5 linked regions of the Rattus norvegicus genome follow. The protein of the gene in region 3 interacts with the protein of the main gene of each other region in a biochemical or structural test. Links are inferred from orthologs where the notes say so. Each region holds a gene or a part of one and is shown on either strand. Other genes may lie near its edges.

Region 1 (4,297 bases), on a different chromosome or scaffold from region 3:
GGTGTCACCACAACACGAGGAACTGTATTAAAGGGTCACAGCATTAGAAAGGTTGAGAACCACTGTACTAGTTCTCCTTTGAGAACTTTCTGAAAGTTTTGAGATTAATGCATTAGCAAAAGACTTGATGTTAGAAGTCCTATCCAAGAGTGCTTTCAGGGGGATGTGTGGCCTAACTGGGACAGCCACAGCCTCCTGGGCTGCTTGTTTCCTACTCTGGAGGGAGACCCTCCTCACCCTATATAGGAATGTTCCCCCTTCTTCTCCAGGTCAAGCCGCACTACAGAACTACAAAAGGTTCACTGAAGACAACACGCAGGTCTCTAGGGGAACTGGACACTATAGCAAAATGAAGTGCCTCCACCACCCTACCCCACACCCTGGCACTGGATATCGGTGCGTGTGTGTGTATGTATGTATGTATGTAAGTATGTATGTATGTATGTATGTATGTACCTGTATCTGTATCCCTCCCTCTCTCTCTCTCTCTCTCTCTCTCTCTCTCTCTCCCTCTCTCTCTCTCTGAAATGAAAGCCCCACATTCAACAAAGGAATTCATGGGGCTTCCACTGTTAGATCTGCAGGTTTTCTTGCCCTTTTGCTTACAAAATATGACTTTTTTCTTTTTGAGACAAGATCCCATGTAGCTCAGGCTGGCTTCATACTTACTATGCTGAAGAGGATGAGCTTCAACTTCTGATCTTCTTGCCTCTCGACCTCCCAAGTTCCAATTTTCCGGGTATGTACCCACACTACCACCCCTGCACTACAAACTGAGTTTGAACCAACCCTCTCCCCCCAAGCCTTTTCTTTCCTATCTACAACCCTTCTTTCCCACAGCTGCTAAGGTCTCCGGTCTGCCTGCTTCTTTCTCTCAAATGTCAACAAAGTAGTCTGCCAGCTTAAACGGGGTGGAGGGTTCAGGGAGGAGACCCACCAGGTGTGAGGGCGCATGCCTTTAAACCTAGCACTCAGGAGGCAGAGACAAGTAGACCTCTGTATGAAGCCAGAACAACCAGAGCTACATAGTGAAACTCTGTCTCAAAAAGTAAACAAAAAACATAGAAAGAGACTCCCCTATCCAGTAATCACAAGCCATGGTGGCAGCTACACCAGAACAGGGATGAATGTGAACCCGCTGTTGCCAGGGTTCAAACCCAGAGCGCTCCCATTACTGTGCTGCAAGGGTAAAGTGTAAGTAACAACTTTCTCCACTACCCGAGACTCCCCTACAGGCCCAAGGGTCCCTCTCCTTCCTCACTGCCTCCTGACCGTCCTGTGGCCGCTTTCTGCTTGCTCCTGGTCTTCTAGCTGTTTTTTGAACAGTCCTGTGCAATCCCAGGAGAAAACACTCATCGCTCCCACACCCTGAAGTCCTCCTAAGTAGGATCCTCATCCCAAATTAGACAGATGGGACTCTCACAGCCCTTCTTGCCCCACATGGGACCCCCAGGAGGTACAAGATATGCTTCTTAGCTCCTTACACACCCCATCCACCCCCAGAAAGCCCAGCTCTGTCATGGGCCTCAGAAAGGTCTGCCAAATGCAGGTGGAGGCCAGTCCCAGTGTTCACAAGGAGGGAAGTCCTCCAACCCAGTGTGTGGGCCTAGAGTGGAGGTAGGAGCCCTAGGCTTCCCCAGCCCTGCCCCCGTGGCCACCATCCCCTACTTGCTACAGAAATAAGTAACTAGAGTTCAAAGGAAGGACACAGCCTTGTAGATTGGAGTCTCCAGGAAGCTTCCAAAGTTAGCGGGCTGGGACAAGAGCTAGGCCTGCAAGAAGGTGCTGAAGGCGTGCCTAGAACAGACAGCTGCTGAGAAAACGCCTCAAGGCAGCCCTTAGGGTGGAAGGCGGCAAGCTCCTCTAAATGCTTGCTTGCAAATCCCTGAGAAATGCTTGCTTGCAAGTCAGACAGAGTCTCTGCTCAGGTGAGGCTGGGCATCAGAGGATCCTTAGGGAAAGAGAGAAGGAGCCTGGAAACAGAATAGTCAGGTCTGGAATGCCAGCGAGCCCTGAGGCCTAGACAGACCTGATTTTTGATGTGGGCTGGCTGGAGGGGAAGACAGGGTCTGCAGGGCTCTAGTACTGTCTAGCCACTGAAGCAAGCCGGGCTCCTTGGAATGTGTCTTGAGTCAAATGTAAGCTTGCAACCCGACTCCCTCCACCCCCTCGGGAAGCGACAAAGGCAAAACCAGGTCCCCGCCCTCGAGGTCCGTTTCCAGGGTCCCCGGGAAACAGGAGCGCCTGAGTGCCCCCCCCCACCATCCAGGGCGGGAAAGGCGGCACGGACCCAGCCCGGGAAGCGCAGCCACTCCTCACGCGAGAAAAGGAGACTTCACAGATCCGTGCGCTGCACAATGAAAAGTGTTCACCCGGAATCCCGGATGCCAAACAAAAGTTTCCCGAAGAAGCCAAAACGCACACAAACAATGACCCCGGGAGCCCTGCGCACTCAGGAACACACGGGACTACACAGAGCGAATGCGCGGGAATAAGGAGCACGGTGGACCCCGGAAGGTCACCGGGTTCCCCACGCGGGCTCCAGCCCCCGGCGGGCCGGGCTCCGCACCGCGCGGCAACAGGCTGGGCACCGCGGCGGGGAAGTTGCGCGCGGGGCGGGCGCGGGGCGGCGCGCTGCTCACCCACGCCGTACTTCTCCTCTCGTTTGGTGGGGACCCAGCGCGTCATGGTGGCGCTGGCCGCAGCCCACTGGAGCCGCCGCTGCCGCTGCCGCCGCCGCTGCTCGGGCAGGAAACTGTGCGCCTAGGCCGCCATCTTCCATTCCTTCCCCGCCGCGACAGGATGGGGAGGAAAAAGTTTGCGGCGGAGGCGGTGTCATGTGGGACGGGGCGGGCGGAGCGTCGCGGGCCGGATGGGAAAGGCCAGGAGCGCCGGCGAGAGGCGGGACGGCAGCCGGCTGCAGCCCGCCCAGGCGCGCGTGCCCTGGGCCGGGCTGGCCGCGTCCCTCGAGGGACCCAGGCCGCTTCCCCGAGCCCACAGACGTCCTGCACGCTGCACGCGCCGCGCAACTCGCATTCTCTACTTTTCACTGAACAGCAGGCACCTCGTACCTATTAATCTGCACCGTACACCCCTCACCCTGCACACTCTACTCTGCACCGCATTCAGCATTCTTTATTATGTACCCCACACACTACATTGAACACCAAGCATCGGCATCCTAAACACTCTGCACCCTTGCATGGTGCAGAGGCGCTGTCTTTACACACACACACACACACACACACACACACACACACACACACACACACACACACACAGAGTCCTTACAGCCCTCCGGACCTGGACCTAACACAAATAGTGGAGGATCAGAACAGAATCAGACACCAAACATGTACTCACTAGTGTGTCCTGGTGGAGAGCGCTGAAGCAGAGCTAGGAGTTCTTCGTGGTTCGTTCATTATTTCATTCATTCATTCAACAAACACAAAGTGGGCACCTATTTCGCCAGAGGCTGAACGTACTGAGCGTGCCTGGTAGCTGATGGGAGTGGTGACGTACAGTCAGCACTGGTTAAGAGAAGCCTAGGGAAAGACTTTGCAGCCCCTGGGTGTTTCTATCAACCCAGCTCCCTTTAGGTGTTGAGGGCCTGGGGCTGCACTGAGAGGCTCCAGGCTTGCACAACTTTGAGGCATTCAGTGGGAGTTGGGCCCTGCTGAAGTGGGGAAAGAGGGAAGTGGGAAGAGAAAGGAAGCCAGTCCAAGCTTAGAACAGGCAGCTCAGCCTCCTAGCAACCCTAATCTGAAGGAGGCCGGTCTCAGATTCACCCAGTGCCAGCCACCCACAAGTGCAATACTTCTGAGTTCTCCAAGGCCCGCACATAGACACACCCCAGAGTTTTCATTAGAATCCAAGAAAAGGTTAAAACTAAGGGGAGGGCTGGAATGGGGGCTCAAGTCCACGGCAATCCATTAGAAGGGGTAAACGAGATTATACCTTCTGCTGTCTGCCTTCTCTCCCTAGCATCCTAGAAACAATGACAAATACACCAGCCAAGAGACTTCAAGGACTAGAGGAACGAAGGTTTAAAAGAGTGAAGGCTACATTGTGTAAGATTGCATGTCAGAGCCAGAGAGGAGCCGACTCATCTAGAATTGGAAGGTCAGGGAGCCACTACCTGCTGTAGACGGGGCCACCCTGGCCTGGGGCAGTTATGTTAACCAGTCCAGATTGCAGCTTAAACAGCCAGGAATTCCAGGATGGACAAGGTGAGAGGAACCTCCCCTGTTCAAGATAGTATACAACTAAAATTTCTAGCAATTCAGCTGTGGGTTCA
Region 2 (4,217 bases), on a different chromosome or scaffold from region 3:
TCCATCATCTTTTAACTTTCAACTTTGTCAATAAAATTGTTATTATCCCAGTTACCCAGGTTGAAAACCTTCATGTTACCTTTAACACATCCTCATTTTATATAAGAATAAGACTGGTGAAAACAGGTAAGACCAGGTTGGCCCTGAACTCAAAGAGATCCTTCTGTCTCTGGCTCCCAGGTACTGACATTAAAGTTGTGTACTAGTATACTTGGCCCAAACTGAACTCATATATGCAAGAGTACTCTTTTTTTTTTTTTTTTGGTTCATTTTTTCGGAGCTGGGGACCGAACCCAGGGCCTTGTGCTTCCTAGGTAAGCGCTCTACCACTGAGCTAAATCCCCAGCCCCGCAAGAGTACTCTTAACCAGTGTTCTTCCTCAGAGCCTGGGTTCAGTCACCAGCACCCACATAGCACCTCACAACCTTCAAGTTACAGGAAGAGAACTGATGTCCTCCTTCTTGCCTCTGTGGGTCAGGTAGGCATATGGTACACAGACGTACAGGCAGCAAAACACACATACACATAAAATTAAATTAAACGCACATACATATTAAATTAAAAAAGGAAAAACAGCCCAAACCCAGGCCCTCTGGTTATTCAGAAGTCCAGATGCAGAACCTGGACACAAATCACCCAAGCTACAAGTCCTGGGATCATCTCTTTGCATGCTACGTCACTTCCTCTGAAACTCTCTTTCCCATGACTAGTCTACACCTCTCCTCCTTCCCATTCCCCAAGCTACGTGCAGTGGGACAGTTTCTCCTTCACTTTGCTCCTATATGTATTATCACTGAAGCTAGCTTGCTACCTCCCGTCCAGTGTCTACTAGCCCGTCCTGTCTATGGATGGCACATCTCCATCACCAGCCTCTCAGGTCTTAGGATGGCTTCTGGTATTCTGCTCCTAGAACAATGCTTTTTTTTTTTTTTTTTTTTTTTTTTGCTTTTTTCTTTTTTCGGAGCTGGGGACCGAACCCAGGGCCTTGCACTTGCTAGGCAAGCGCTCTACCACTGAGCTAAATCCCCAACCCCAGAACAATGCTCTTATAATATAATATTCATTCATTTTCATTCATTCTCTCTTCTCCTCTTCTTCCTCTTCCTCCTCCTCCTCCTCTTCTTCTTCTCTCCTTCCTCTCTCTCTCTCTCTCTCTCCCCCTCTCTTTCTCTCTTTCTCTCTTTCTCTTTTTCTCTCTTTCTGTCTCTCTCTCTCCCTGGCTGCTGGGGCTTGAACTCAGGCCTCAGACAGGCTGTGTACATTGTCACTACTTTACAGTGCTGTATTCTTAATTTCCCTCATTGCACCCTTTCTTGTACTCTATTTCTGACCGCTAATTACATTATTTGTTAATTTTTATTAGCTTGTGTATATTAATAAAGACATATAAATTAATATGTGCTCAAAGTTTGTCTTTTTTTAAGAGTTTAGGCATTTGCCCCCAGGCCTGATGAAGAGTTTAATACCTGGGATCCACATGGTAGGAAAGAAATGATTCCCAAGTTGACTCCTGACCTCTACATATATGGGTGTGTGTGCGCACACACAGACATACATATGAAAAATAAATATAATTTTAAATAGTTTAGAAACAGCTTTTCTGAAGAATATGAGGCCGAGTAAGTCCCAGATTACATGGAGCACGTATGCATATATGTATACACCAATGGGGCTCAAAGAAAAACTCATGTTCATATCCACATGGAAGCCCTAACCATGCCCACCCATCTAGAGCTCCGCCAGCCATCTCAGAATCCTGTGTCCTACTCTGATAGGCAGAACAGGGTGGTTTGGCAGAGCCCTTCATTTTTAGTTTGGAGAAAATACTCTTGAAAGTAAAGAGATACTGAAAAGGGTTTCACTGTTCACCATTCTGACACTGCTCACCGCCTGATTAATAAAACACATACCGAATATGCCACAATCTCTTAAAGATTCAGTTCCTATTTCCCAATTCCTCGGGGCACGACTCGTTCCCGTCGTTAACAACCGGTTTATCCTCCCACCACCTGAACCTGAGCTCATACCTGCCTTCATCCTTCCCTTCCTGGGGATACCATCCACTGTTCGACAGTCGCCCTGTCCTGTCCCAGGACAGCAAGACATTCAAGCCTGGGTCCCTAAGACCCCTATTCCTTCTCGCCGCCGCCGCCGCCCCCAGACACTGCCAGCCAGGCTGGAGAGCCTAGCCGGGCGGGGGGAGGGGTGTGCCTCGCCTCCCGTGACTGGCCCAGATGGCAGCCGATTCCGCCCCCACTCTCGGGCACCCCTCCAGCCCTCGCCCCCCGAAGGCTGCCCGTCCGCCTCGCACCTCGTCCCGACCCCACCCCACCCCTGGCCTCCCTCACGCCCTCAGCCGGCTTAGGACACACTCACCGTGCTGGGTGAAGACGTTGAAGCCGGCGTCTGCGGTACGCCCCACCGGGTCCCGCCTGCGGCCGGAGGGCCTGGCTGCGCTGCTGCCCCGGATCCCGCGCGGCTGTGGCTGCTGGAGCCCGGGAGCCTCCCCGACGCGGCCCACCTGCTGCCCCATCCCGCCGCTCGCGTACTCCCGCGCCCCCGCCGACCCCTGCTCACATTCCTCCTCTGCTCCGGCCTCGGAGCTCCCGGCACCGCTCCGGCCTCTCCGGCCCAAACCCAGGCCCTCTGGGCCGGAGTTGCCGGCGGCTCCTCACGCAGACTCCTCAGAGCCGCTGCCGCGCGCCGTGCTGCCTCCCAGCGACTCACAGACTACCCTTCTCCCTCCCCCTCCGGCGGCTCCTCGCCCCAGCCGCCGCCGCCATCTTTAAACCACCGAGCACAGGGCGAGCGTGGGACAGAGCGTCTCCCGCCCCTCTCTCGCCCAGGCACCTCCGCTACTCGGTGGGCGGAGCTCCGTGTGGCCCCGCCCCGCCCGCGCCCCGCTGGGTTGAAGTCGAGGCCCACCCCACCGGTCCACCGAAGCTTTCTAGGGCCCTCGAAGGCTTCACCGCCACCTTTACCTACATTCGGCTCCACACACTGCCTTACTTGGAGGGGTGTGGGCGCCCAGCCTTTCTTGTCCCACCCCCACCTGTCAAGTCAGAGGAGGTTCTGAACCCACCACGTGCGCAGCTCAGCAGCAGGCAGCTGAGGCTCGTGAATCCCTGTGCTTAGCTGCCATTCAACTGAGAAGCCCTTCACACACACTCAGCATCAGGTCTAGGGTGAAGTTTGAAATAGTACAAAATTCACCGGGAGATGGTAAAGTGCGGGGTTAACTTAATTTGAATTATTTCTTGATGTGCACTTTGCAGACTTCTTGGCAAAGCCGTTGTAGCCCAATTCCTCATACTACCTTGGATTTCTCTTGAACTCTTCCACCATCTCCCTAACCGCATGTGTTTCTGTTTACTTTAAAACGCCTAACAGTAAAGCTAATCTTCCCACAGATGTGCAGTGCAGGATGTCAGGCACTCCTTTGTTGACCAGGAAAACGTAATCACTTTGACCTGAGTCAGAACTTACTCATCTTTACCTTCTGGTATCTAAATAGAGAAACAGGCAGAAGAGAAGTTTTTTTTTTATAGGAGTGCACCCTGTGTGCAGTTGTCTCCCCATCCCAACCCACTACGAGTTCTATTAACTTAATATTTAGCCAGTTTTTTCAATTCTCAAAGACTCGATGACGCTTATTTCTCGCTATTCCTTTTTCTTCCTTGTTTGTTTTGTTCTTTAAAAGGATCAGTTACTAGACTTGGCACTTGAACTTTTGCTTTCGAATGAGGACTGGAGCCATTGCTTAAATAGAGGAAAACAGCCCTAAGGAAGAGAAGAGTTAGCAAAAATAGATGTAGTTCCCCTTACGTGTGTTTTGTAGAACTGTGTAAGATCACAAGCGTGTGTTGGTGAGATTCGAACTCAGGACCTTGAGTTCCAGGCAAATGCTCTACCACTTGCTACTGCCCAAATTCCAGCTGATTTTGATACAGATATTCACTATTAAAGAGCCTTAGGGGCTGGGGAAAGATGGGTTAATGACAAAAAAAAAAAAAAAAAAAATACTTGCACTGCAAGCCTGACCACCTGAACTTGGAGTTCCACACAAGATACTAGTCATAGTGAAAAGCCAGAAGCACTAGCCCAAGCTTTATGATCCTAGCTGGTCTACAAGAAGAGGGAAGGTTGGGGTTGGGGATTTAGCTCAGTGGTAGTGGGTTCAGTCCCCAGCTCCGGAAAAAAAAGGAAAAAAAAAAAGA
Region 3 (3,987 bases):
CAGGACAACTCTGAGGTGTTCCTTCTCTTATCCAACCCCGGGATTGAGGATCAAACAAGACCCTCAAGCTGGCAAAGCTGTGCTTTTGCCTACTGAGCCACTCTGCGGGATCTCAGAGCACTCAGATGGCAGAAGCAAGAATTCTCCTGAGTTCAAAGCCAGCCTAGTTTATATGGTTGCAGACCAGCTAGGGCTGCAGAGTGAAACCCTGTTTCAAAACAAAAGAATGGAGTTCCCTATGTGCACCCCAGGGATTCCAAAGCAAATAAACAAAGAATACCAAAATTATACAATAGTCAGTTCTCAGGTCACACTGTCTAGTTCAAATTCTGGTTTATATGCTAAATGTTACAGGTTACTGGATTTCTAGTTCTTCTCCCCACCTCCAAATGAAAATGTTTTAATAAATGGAGATTGCAGAATTTCACTCATTGGATTGTTTTACTGATGGTGAATTATATAAGGCACATTTAGCAAAGCATGTAGCATACAATAGTCAGTCAATAAGTGTAAACTATTAAAATTATATATGTCTCTCTAAAACTCAAGTAATTCCTGTGTGGCTTCAAAAGAAAAACAGTTTAATGGATGGCAGAACAGCGATTAAGTGACCATCATAAAGACAGCAAGTGAATTGAGTGTCCTACAGAGAAAATGGGGAACACGACAGAACAAATTGCCACAAAGCCAATGAACTTTCCACACCTAACCCACAAACTGGCAATCTTCTCCTCTCCTAGGCCAAACACCTATTTTGAAAAGGTGGAGCTACCGAGATATAAAACCACAAGCCTGCCTGATGCTAGTCCCACATTTTCAAACAAGGAGAAAACTGAGGACCGAGTCCCTCACCCCCAGCTATTGGGAATAAAACCTAGCCTCCCCAAATGTCAGGCAAATAAACTACCACTCAACTATATCCCTAGTCACACCCCCTAACATAACTTTTTATTTTGAGGCAGAATCTTGCTAAGTTTCCCAGATGACCTGGAACTTGTAAAATCTTGCCTCAGCCTCCTAGGTGCTGGGATTAAAAGCATGAATTATGAAACTTGGCTGAGAATTGAATTTCAACAATAACATTTCATCTTACTACTGCCCTTAACACAAAACAACAGATTATTTTACAGATAGCACAAAAATAGAATTTACTATGTTTAGGGCAATTGTGTTGTATCTGATTTTATATTATTAAACCAACAGACACAAAAAGACTAAGAAGACTTCAGTACTCAAATTTTCCCCTTACTTGTGTGCCAACACCAAGAACTGTTTATCCCACCTCTACCTCCTCATTTGTGGCCAAAGGGAGTAAGTCTAAATTAGGATGATCCTAAAAGGAGGTCTACTAAACGGCTAACCAGGGAGTCTCCATTCATGAGATTAGCTCAGCTCTAGGAGGAACAAGCTTGCACTTCAAACATCCAGAAAGCAAGAAGCTTGGTGCCAACACACAGAGACAACAGTAATCTCAGAATCACTGTGCATCTCACAAACTTCAAGGACGAAGTGCATGAATTTCCTTAACATTGCCAAGACAACTGCAATAATACAGCTGAGACAATTACAACTCAATGGTCCTCGATGAGGAAAACACAGCGGGATAATTATTCTTGGTGTATCTGCCAGCTAGGTCTGCTCTCATATCCTGGAAGATTTTGACCACAGCACCAACTTAGCAAGAAAAGACCCAGAAGTACGTTGACTGACACTGTTTAAGCCCAGGAAGAATGAAATTCCATTCACTTCCAAGGTTGTTCTCCCTGGCCTATGCTTGGTTTATTTCCTAAAGGAAAAAAAAAACCTTCCTCCACTAATCACTTTGAAACTAGAAACTCTACGTGCAGCGGGCAGTCTTTTGGACACTTAAAACCTCTTGGACACAATTTGCCAGCTAGGCTTCAATTACGCTGGGCTGGTCACAGAAAGCTTTTTTTCTATTACCAAGTCACTTAGTTCACCACCTTCCACAAGGGAAGAGCACGGTAAAAAGATTTTGGAAAAATGCCCAAGAAAGGAAAAAGCTGACCGGCTTCCTGAGGGTGTCTCCATCCCTCCCAGCCAGCCAAGTACGTGGTGACTTCCTACCGAAGGCCACCAGGGGAGTATGGCCAAACCCAGCTCTAACACTGCAGGAAACGTTTCAAGCCTAAAAGCCACTTGTAGGATTAGCAGATCCATTCTGGGCATCTCTGCCAAATGATGTCCCCGCAACATCCCCATTAACTCTTTGTCCCCAAGTTGCCTGGCCCTGCCCTGCCCTGCCCTTGGGCCTGACCCTGGCGCCCAGCCCCACCCCGGGGCCGCAGCAGTTCCCCTTCCCCGGCTCCCAAGGCACACCCAGAGGCCTCGGTGAGCAGCTCCTCCTCCCCCACAATCCCGCTCATCGGTGGGAACCAGCTTGGTCAGAAGGCAGCTCCCCCGCCAGGTTCACTCCAGCCCTCTCTGCCCACGTCCCTCCTGCAGCCGACCAGGGTTCTAGGGCCTTCACCCCCGCCCGGGCCTCCCGCCCGTCTGTCCCTCACCCGGCGGAGGCTGAGCGGGCGACGGAGGCACTGGAGGGCGCGGGCCGCTGCTGTTGATGATGTAGTGGGAGACGCGCGAGTTTTCGGAGACGCTGAGCACATAGTCCCCGGGGCTGGTGCTCGAGTCCCGCACCAGGAAAACCCCGTGCCGCTGGCCCTGCAATAGCGCCACCGCCTCCTGCCGGCTCAAGCGGCCCCAGTACCAGCTACTCCGCTCCTCCGAGTCGAAGTTGCCTGCCATGGCCGCCTCCGCGCCTTCACGCTGGGCCGCCGCCGGCACGCGCGCCCCTCCAGCCCTGGCGCCCGCCGCCCAGCGGACCGGCTCCGGTGTAAGCCTCCCAGCAGCGCCCGAAATGGCGGCGGCAGCCGCGGGCCTTCCCCACCGGAAATGACGCGCTCTCTACCCGAGGGAGGCTGCCGGGAAGGGGACCGCCGCCCGCCATTGGGAGAAGGGAAACGGAGTCCTTGGGGCCCGCAGTGCGCATGCGTCCTCATGGGCGTCGCCGCCCGGTCCAGAACCCCAACGGCGGAGGATGGGGAGGCGGAGTCTAGGTTTAAGGGGCGGAGCCTCAATCTTCAGACTGACTGGTGTTTGACTAACTGGTGTTTGACAGATTGGTAGAGGCGGTCTTTCTCCCAGGACCTACAGGTAGCAGCTCCAGTAAAAGGACTGGAGTAAAAAAGATGATGTGGTCCCAGGATGCCCTCAAAGCTCCCTAACAAGCTGGTCTTTCCCGGTGTTTCCTTCGGTTTCCCCGGAGGTCAGTCGAAGTTCTTGCTATCTAGGAGTAGCCATAGATAACACATTTGCCTTGCAGGTGCAGTACTGACCTAGACTGAGCCTTAAGTCACCGAATTCACAGACCAGTGGGAGGGATCAGGAAACCATTAATGTCTGCTGTGATGGGAAACAGAGACACAAGGAAATCAACTAAGTAATCCTAGAGGAATCCAAGGGCCGGGTAAAGTGACTATGACAGTAATCCCAACCCTTAGGAAACTGAGACAGGAGGATCACTGTGTTTCAGGCCCTATATTATAAAACGAAAGCAAATAAGAACAAGGAGTCCACAGATGAGATGGTGTAGGTTGAATGGTTCGGTGTTGAATGGCAAGTGGGGAAGGGTACTTAAGGCAAAGAAAACAAAATGTCCAGCCAGGCAAAGCAATGGAGTTCTCTCTATGGGAGCTCCCATGTCAACCAGCCAGATCCTTTTAAACTCTCATTTGTAGCCAGAGGAATCTCCTAGTTTCACTTCCTTCATGATCATCATCTATCTCAAAAAAAATTTTTAATGAAAAAATACTGGGGAGTGGGGTGTTCAGGATAGGGTTTCTCTGATAGCTCTTGCTCTCCTGGAACTCACTTTATAGAGCAGGCTGACCTTGAACTCAAAGATCCACCTGCCTCTGCCTCCCCAGTGCTGGGATCAAAGGTATGCACCACCTCTGCCTAGCCACT
Region 4 (3,400 bases), on a different chromosome or scaffold from region 3:
AGGGTTTTTCCAGGACAATATGGGGAGATTCACATAAAGGACTCAAAGGACTGCTGGCCTGGCCCTGTGGTGGCAGCCAGCTTGTCCTCCAGTTACAAGTCAGGAAGCAGGTACTCCCCAGGCCACAAGAAGGAGGCTGTCAATCCAGCCTCCTTGGCAGAAGGGGTAGGCTTCAACGTCACCCTACTCAGCATGGTCTACATGTGTCATGTCCCGGATGGATCCGCTCAGGGAACCACTGGGAAGCCAGGCTTCCATGAGGAGCTGCAGGAGCAGTGCTGGCTGGAAGCCAGAGCTCAGTCTGCATTCTGGTACTGAGTGCTGTTGTCCCCTGTTAGGTAGCAATGACCCTACCAGGCAGATGACTGTGAGGACCCACCCTGTGAGGTTCCGGCCAAGCTATTCAGCTAGCCCTGGACTTGCTGACTGCCCCTCTCCCACCAGGCACTATGAAATCCGGAGAAACGACGACATCATAAACTTCTTCAATGACTTCAGCGACCACCTGGCCGAGGAAGCCCTATGGGAACTCTCTCTGAAGATCAAGCCTAGGAACATAACAAGGCGGAAAACAGACCGTGAAGAGAAGACCTAGGAGCAGGCTGGCTGTGAGGATGCTCAAGCAGCCAGGAGAGGACCTGGACCGTCCCAGCCTCAGAGCCTGTCCATGGCTTGGCTGTGTGGCAGCACCGAGTCTGCCGGCCGGTTTCCTGCCTCCTTCCCTATGGCTAAAGCCCCAGGGTTCACAGTGAGCTGGCTGGCAGGCCTCAGGACTGGCTTGTGTACTGGTGGCCCCTGGTCTGGTTTTGTTTTCTGTTTTCTGTCGATGCTCCGTCCTGTTCCCTACTGTCCCCTCCAACAGGGAGCAGAAGAAACCTGAGCAGCAGACCAGGGGAGTGGCTGGCTTCCTTCCTCCCTCCCAAGGCTGTCTTTGCCTTCTTAAGTGGCAGATAAGTAGAGGCCCCACCCAGGCCCCTTGGGTAGACCGCCCTCCAGGGTACCTGGAGCCAGAGGAGATAGGGCTGGGAGGTGGAAGAAGGAGAAAAGGGCCACAGCAGGCATCTTTCACTGTCCATTTCCTGCCTTTTAGACATGGAGGATGAGGATGTCGACCTGGCGTGAAAGTATCATGGGATAGGCAGCAGCCAGAGCTGACACTTGTCACAGTACTGGCCCCAGCCCTGTCCTGCCAGGCATGGTCCACCAAGGCTCACCTGCTGGACTGACAGCAGCACCAGTTGCACCTTCCACCCTGTTGCCCCACCACTGTCCAGCCCCAGCCCAGCCCACATCAGCGGTTCTCTGGGGATCAGGAACAGGAGGCAGAAGGGAGAGTTCATGCTGAGCTGGGGCCAAGGCTATGCTTCCAAGTGGCTCAGAGAGTGAGGATCTTTAGTGACCTAGGGAGAGGCAAGCAGCCTCTCCGTGCTTGCTGTGTGCCTTAAATGCCATCTCCTGTTCCTTCCAGCCTGGGGCTTCCCTCCTCCTGTGCCCCACCCCTGGCAGCCAGCAGGGTCCTGGGCCCTTTTTGCTCCCTGGGAATGTCTCCTGTTCCCAAGGCTAAAGAAGCCTAGGATGTGAGGCCTCCAGGGGCTCCTGATTCCAGACAGGTGGCAGAGCCACCCCTGCTGCTGAGGTTGACAATCTGTTCAGGGCTCAGGACTGGGATCTCCCTGGCCATGGTCCCACGGCCTCACTGTAGGCTGATTGGCAGGGTGCAGGTCAGAATGCAGAGGTGCTGCTGGCCCTGCACCATCCCTCCAGTTCAGGTTTGCATGGACAGGCACCCTCATCTTCTGGTCATGGGGCTTGGCCAAGTGGATCCCAGGATTTCTGTGCTTCCCAGCCCAGTCGTCAGAGCAGAAGAAAAGACAGCAGCAGCTGCTGGCCGGGTACTAATTTGAAACAGCTGTCACTCTGAACCCTTCCTGGGTTGGTTTTTTGTTTTGTTTTTGTTTTTAAAGCAGCTTTTATCAAATAAGAACTATAGGACCCTCTTCTGTTTATTTGTGCTGTAAATAGAAAGGGGACATCTGTAAACAGCCCCTTGGCCAGCTCCCTCTGGCAGCAGCCGGTACTGGATTGTTTATGGAGCGTTTGTGGAGTCAGGCTTGTGAACAGTCGCGTGGGTCTTTGGTGTGTTCCTCTTTTACAGGTCCTTTCATTTCAGTCTTTGCTCCTACTTGCTGTCCTTCACCAGCTCTAGGTGCTGCTGTGTGCGAGTGGGGAACACTGTGCACACGGGGTCTTTCCTCCCAGCGCTTTAGAGGCCCCTGCAGCCTCCCTCTGTAGCACAGGCCAACATAGGCCCAGCCTACTGGTGCTGCAGCCAACAGAGCGGCTCTGTGGTCTGTGTCTACTGGTTCCCAAACATGAGCTGGCTAGAAAGGAAGGCTCTCCTTCCAGACCAGAAAAGCCAGGCCCTCCTACAATCCTGGGAGCCTTAGGCAGACTAAGTCAAGGGCCAGGGCACGTCTGGAGTTTCTGTGTGGGGATGTTGAGGTGCGATGTGTGGGTTTAACTTATTAGCCAGCAGGCTTCCCCAGTCACCTGCCTCTGGCTGCGGCTGAGCCCAGTGTTCCCGCAGCCTGGCTTCCACATGTCTGTTTTTTAGGGGTGGGGGGCTGGGAGAGCTGTGAAGATGGGTCTTTATAGATATACTAAGCAGCATGGACAATTCGGTTCCCAGCAGAGGCCAGCCCTTACCTGTGGATATGGTCTGACCAAGGCTAGGGCAAGCAAACACCATGTCTGACTGACCCTTAAGTCTCCCAGTGTGGCACTGTAATATAACCCCCCACTCACCTGTCTGACAATGCATCTTCCTACAGACAGAACAGCGCGCAACTTTTATATGAAAGAAAAATAAACAGACAAAAGCCCGTCTGATGCCACGTCTGTGTCCAGGCTTTCTCTATCAGGCTGCGTTGGGCCAGTCCCTGCTATGTGTGACCAAGGGGAAGGGAAGTGGGTAAGGTAAGGTGGGCTGAGCTCTGGTAAGCATTGGGAGCCCATGTGCTAGGAGAGAACTGACTCCTGCAAGTTGTCCTCTGACGGCCGCGCACACACTGTCATGGGAGTGAGCAGAGGAGGACTAAAGCCCTGGGCCTTAAAACTCCTCCCTTCACCGCCTCTGCTTCTGAGGGTCGTTCAATCCTGTGTCTTCCGAATTCAAGTGCTGAGAAAGACCAAAATACCACACCCAAAGGACAGCTCACAGCCAGCACCTGACTCTGAAGAGAGACCTCAGCAGTTAAGAGCGCTGGCTGCTCTTCCAGAAGACCCGAGTTCAATTCCCAGCATCTGTGATTTGTAACTCCAGTGCCCTCTTCTGACCTCTTTCAGCACCACACATGCAGTGCACACTCATGATGACGAAGCACTCGTCCACAAAATCTAG
Region 5 (4,177 bases), on a different chromosome or scaffold from region 3:
CTTAGAAAGCCACAGGGAGCTGTCAACAGCTCTCTGGGCTCCAGCCTGAAATTAGTGAGGCCAGGCAGGGTGATGGTCATTTTTACCAATCTGAATGTTGCCAGGCCTGCTAGTTCCTACCCTGCCTTAGCTCCATTGTCATGTGACTGTGGCCACTTCCGGTCCTCCCTCAGGACCAGCACATAGGACATGCTCACACCGGGCAGCCTCTGTGTTCCTTGAAAGGGCCCATCTCCCAAGAAAGGGCACGGTAGAGGCTAGATGGGCTACCCAGTTTCACAGGAGAGAAGCCATAGCAGAGCCATGCTGCAGTGGGGCTGCTCTGCACAGGCCTTGCCCTTCACCGTACCGTGGCAGGGCAGCCAACCTCTCGTTACTTGTGGACATGGGTCCGAGATGGCAGCAGTCATTTTCAAGTGCGAACTCCAAGTTAGGCCAACACTTGGAGGAGGCAGAAGCAGATGGCTTTCAGTATGAGTTCAAGGTAAGCCTGGTCTACAGAGTAAATTCCAGGGTATTCAGGGCTATACAATGAGATCTTATCTCAAACACCAAAACAAAACCCTGTCCAGGCCCTGCTTGGATACCCAGGAAATCACATCAACTCAACCTATTTCATCCCAAGTTCTCTCTGCAGTGGTCTCCCACTGCCGCCTGTTAGCATCTTGTAATTTCTGTGGGCCAAAGTGCTTGCGTCAGCTCTATACAGGGAAAGACTGCCCAAATGAATGGGTGTGCTTAAAACTCAAACGTGTCCCTAAGTACCACATGGCCAGTCACCATTCTGGGCTCCCTGGGCAGGCAGATCTTTCTAGAAGTCCACCCGGGCTCCCAGCATATGAAAGCTTCAGAAATGACCTCTCCATAGCCCCACCACCTTGCACACTACTTAGGGCCCAGGATAGAGGACAATGGCCTGACAGTCTAGTCTAGCTACACACTGTGCAGAATTACTGAGGGCTGTGGCTACAAGCGAACGGGAGAGAAGTGACTTGGAGTGGATCGTGGTAGGGACAGACCTTCACTTTAGTTCTTCACAGTGATTCTCACCTGTACAAACCCCTTATCCTCTCCAGTTATAGATGGTACCACCGTGGCACACAGCAGAGGGCGACTACCTGAAATCTCGTGAGATAAGGGTCTGCGTGCCGTCTAAGACACATGTCCCATACAGAGCTCTATACCTAGGCTAGACTACTAAACCAATCCTGGACCTCCCGACCAGAGGCCTGTCCAGAGGGGTACTCCATGGTCATTACAGCCTTGGGGACCCTGGCCCTCCAGCACACTCAGCAGGTCTGTCTTGTTTTCCTGGCCAATGTCCACAGAGGCGGAGTTGGTCGGTGCCCTATGCCCCAAGCTGGAGAAAACCCTGAGCTTTGCAGAACAGCAGAGCAGAACAGCAGAGAGGTTTGGCAGGCTTTCTCCGTCTCTTCCTAGAGATGAGACAATTATGCTTTGAACCAGAAGAGATGGGGGTGGGGGCTCCCATCAGCGCGGCCTGGAAGCCCTAATTTTTTCATCTGTAACTCAGTATTACCGCTTCTGGGGGCGGGCAGGAGCTGAGATCTTTAATTCTGTAATAACAATGCTTTGCCCTGACAGAACCCTCTCCTCTCCAGCAATCTCCATACTCTATGGTGCTTAATTAAGAAGCCACTTGCCCCGCCAACTAACGGCATCACGGAGAGAACCCAGTCTCCGGAGTCGATCCAGAGCAGAATAAGGGCAGGCTAGGCAAGGCTCTGGCCCATTGCCCCTTCCTGTCATTGGGGAAAAGGCCTGAGTCAGCAGAGAAATGGTGGCTGCAGGCCATGACTCCGGGGCAGACAGGATGAAGGTGTGGCCTCACACCTCTGTGTGTCCATCTGTAAAGTGGGTTGGAGCCTGTGCCTGAGTCCACCCCCCTGGTAGAATAATCACTGGCCACCTCAGGAGGAGACCCAAGGTCCTAGTGTTAAGGACTGGACCAAGGGCTTCTCGAGTGTGTCTGGTGGATTGGGAAGACAGAAGACGAGATGTCAAGCAAAGGGGGAAGCCCCTACAGAAAGCAGCTGCTAATCAAAAGGCCCTGTAGTTCAATGGGCCAACAAAACTTCCCACAAAGTGAATGTACAAACCAGAGGTAGGGGGAGGTACGCTATTTCCATTAGCCTGCCAAGCCAACCATTCTGGGGTAAGGGTGTCTCCGGGGACAGAACAGACCCCGCCCCACGCCTGGCCATCCGGGTAGGGACCAGAGAGCACAATAGGGCAGCCCTCCCAGGGAGTTTTCTGGGGGAACCGCACAGACCTTCCCACCACTCGGCCCAGCTGACCTGGCCATGGGTTTCTAAGAAGTGACAGAGCCCTCTTTTCGGTAGGCCTGACCACTCTGGTAGGAGGTCGGGGAAAGGCACGGACCCCGCCGAGCCCACCAGTCCCAGAGGCTCTCAGGAGCACCCCTAAAGCCCCCTGCCCAACCCAGCCGTGCCCCGGAGCTCCCGGTGGGGCCAGTGCGGCTCCCCGTCCTACTCGGCTGTCCTGGAGGAGGCTGGAAAAGCCGTGTCAGAGATGCCGGTTATGGGGCGGTGCCCCCACCCTGACCCCCACCTCGGCTTGAAAAGAACCTCCGGCGACCCCCGGTGGCCCAGGCCTACGGCGGGGGGGAGCAGGGTCTCAGGCGGTCAGCACTCACCGGCACGGTCATCTTGGCCACCGCTCCCGGGGCCCTGCGGCAGCGGCGCGGGCTAGCTCGGGCTCGGTGGGCCCGCGCCGCTCACAGCCCCCGGCGCGGGGTCCCGGCGCTCTCCGCTGCCCGCGGGTTGCTTTCAGCCACCGGACTGTCCGGCCGCTCCCCCCGCGCCGCGCATGCGCTGCCCGCGCCGCCCCTCCCCCTCCCGCCTGCTGCGCCGCCGGCCGCGTTAAAGGCGAGGACCCGGGACCCCGGCATTTTTCTGTCGGCACAACTGGGTGAGAAGGCTGAGTTCCCACACCTTGCCTGTCCTTCCAAAGGCCACCTCCAGACTCACTATTAGACAATCCCATCCGGTCCGCCCACCCGGTTCTGAGACTAGAACCCCCACCCCCACACATCACGTCCCTCAGTGCGGGTCCCAAGACGCCTACAATCCTAGTTTGGGAGCAGATTAGTCTGGCTGAAGGCGATCTTAGATCAGCCTAGGAAGCAGCCTGACTTAACATTGGATACCCCTGAAAGTAAAATCTACAGTGGCTTTTTTTTTTTAAAGGGTTTTTTTTTTTAATTTTCTAGAAGATTTATTCATTTATATACAAGTACACTGTAGCTGTCTTCAGACACACCAGAAGAGGGCATCAGATCCCACCACAGACGGCCGTGAGCCACCACGTGGCTGCCGGGACCTGAACTCAGGACCTCTGGAAGAGCGGTCAGTGCTCCCAACCAGTGAGCCATCCCTCCAGCCCTCTACAGTGGCTTTTAGGGAGGGTCCCACAATGGGCCCCCCTGCCCAAGGCTGGAAGACAGACAGGCCTTCGGGGACCTGAACCTTCCTTTCCTCCTTGTTAATCACCCCTAATTTCTTCAGCTGTTTCACACTTGGTACAATGCCCAAACATGCACCTGCAAGCACAAGGCACACGGGCTTCCGACTGCCACACCTTGCTGCTTTCACCTTCCCTCTCAGTACACTGAGGCTCGGAGCTCCACTGGCTACCAAAGGCATAAGGCCCCGCGGTCTGCTCTGCTTGCTGCCCAACACATTCAGCCTGTCACTGCTCCATGGGACCTCTTCCTGAGCAAGGCCAGACCCAGATAGTTAATGGCTGCCATGCCCTGAGTAGGAGAGTGCATTCTTACATCAAGTGGGAACTGGACTCTATGGCTTTGTCTACTGCTTCCTAAGGGAGCCCCATGAGAGGATCACAAGAGGACCACGAGAGGGCAAGAGCTTCAGCTAGCTAGCATATAGTACCTGGGGACAAAGCTGCTTCGGCGGCCGCTGCTGCTGCTTCCACCTCTTCCTCTTCCTCCTTTCTCCTTTCTTCCTCATCCTCTTCCTCCTTCCCATTCCCCTCCTCCTCCTCCCCTTCCTTTCCTCCTCCTCCCCCTCGTCTGGTTTATTTCATTTTTGGTGTGTGAGTATTTGTAAATCCGTGTATGCACAGCGTGTGCCTACCTGCTGCATTCAGAGGTCAGAAGACAGCATGGGATCCC

The links.
Region 1: the proteins of Crk (region 3) and Dock1 form a complex in vitro, tested with the Homo sapiens proteins (3 studies listed by BioGRID and IntAct, with this or other methods). The link is inferred for Rattus norvegicus from reciprocal best matches to the Homo sapiens genes CRK and DOCK1.
Region 2: of the proteins of Crk (region 3) and Abl2, one has a biochemical effect on the other in vitro, tested with the Homo sapiens proteins (2 studies listed by BioGRID and IntAct, with this or other methods). The link is inferred for Rattus norvegicus from reciprocal best matches to the Homo sapiens genes CRK and ABL2.
Region 4: the proteins of Crk (region 3) and Rapgef1 form a complex in vitro, tested with the Homo sapiens proteins (4 studies listed by BioGRID, with this or other methods). The link is inferred for Rattus norvegicus from reciprocal best matches to the Homo sapiens genes CRK and RAPGEF1.
Region 5: the proteins of Crk (region 3) and Bcar1 form a complex in vitro, tested with the Homo sapiens proteins (2 studies listed by BioGRID, with this or other methods). The link is inferred for Rattus norvegicus from reciprocal best matches to the Homo sapiens genes CRK and BCAR1.

The regions. Positions count from the first base shown.
Region 1 is NC_086019.1:198,895,554-198,899,850, reverse strand, and holds the start of Dock1 (dedicator of cytokinesis protein 1), read right to left. Parts: upstream 2,807-4,297; 5' UTR 2,689-2,806; coding exon 2,643-2,688; intron 1-2,642. UniProt on the Homo sapiens protein: Involved in cytoskeletal rearrangements required for phagocytosis of apoptotic cells and cell motility. Along with DOCK1, mediates CRK/CRKL regulation of epithelial and endothelial cell spreading and migration on type IV collagen.
Region 2 is NC_086031.1:71,222,534-71,226,750, reverse strand, and holds the start of Abl2 (tyrosine-protein kinase ABL2), read right to left. Parts: upstream 2,803-4,217; 5' UTR 2,534-2,802; coding exon 2,377-2,533; intron 2,316-2,376; exon of another isoform or gene 2,107-2,315; coding exon of another isoform or gene 2,028-2,106; intron 1-2,027. UniProt on the Homo sapiens protein: Non-receptor tyrosine-protein kinase that plays an ABL1-overlapping role in key processes linked to cell growth and survival such as cytoskeleton remodeling in response to extracellular stimuli, cell motility and adhesion and receptor endocytosis.
Region 3 is NC_086028.1:61,027,735-61,031,721, reverse strand, and holds the start of Crk (adapter molecule crk), read right to left. Parts: upstream 2,806-3,987; 5' UTR 2,767-2,805; coding exon 2,526-2,766; intron 1-2,525. UniProt on the Homo sapiens protein: Involved in cell branching and adhesion mediated by BCAR1-CRK-RAPGEF1 signaling and activation of RAP1.
Region 4 is NC_086021.1:33,411,226-33,414,625, forward strand, and holds the end of Rapgef1 (Rap guanine nucleotide exchange factor 1), read left to right. Parts: intron 1-444; coding exon 445-595; 3' UTR 596-2,894; downstream 2,895-3,400. UniProt on the Homo sapiens protein: Guanine nucleotide-releasing protein that binds to SH3 domain of CRK and GRB2/ASH. Transduces signals from CRK to activate RAS. Involved in cell branching and adhesion mediated by BCAR1-CRK-RAPGEF1 signaling and activation of RAP1.
Region 5 is NC_086037.1:56,620,382-56,624,558, forward strand, and holds the start of Bcar1 (breast cancer anti-estrogen resistance protein 1), read right to left. Parts: upstream 2,810-4,177; 5' UTR 2,690-2,809; coding exon 2,678-2,689; intron 1-2,677. UniProt on the Homo sapiens protein: Docking protein which plays a central coordinating role for tyrosine kinase-based signaling related to cell adhesion. Implicated in induction of cell migration and cell branching. Involved in the BCAR3-mediated inhibition of TGFB signaling.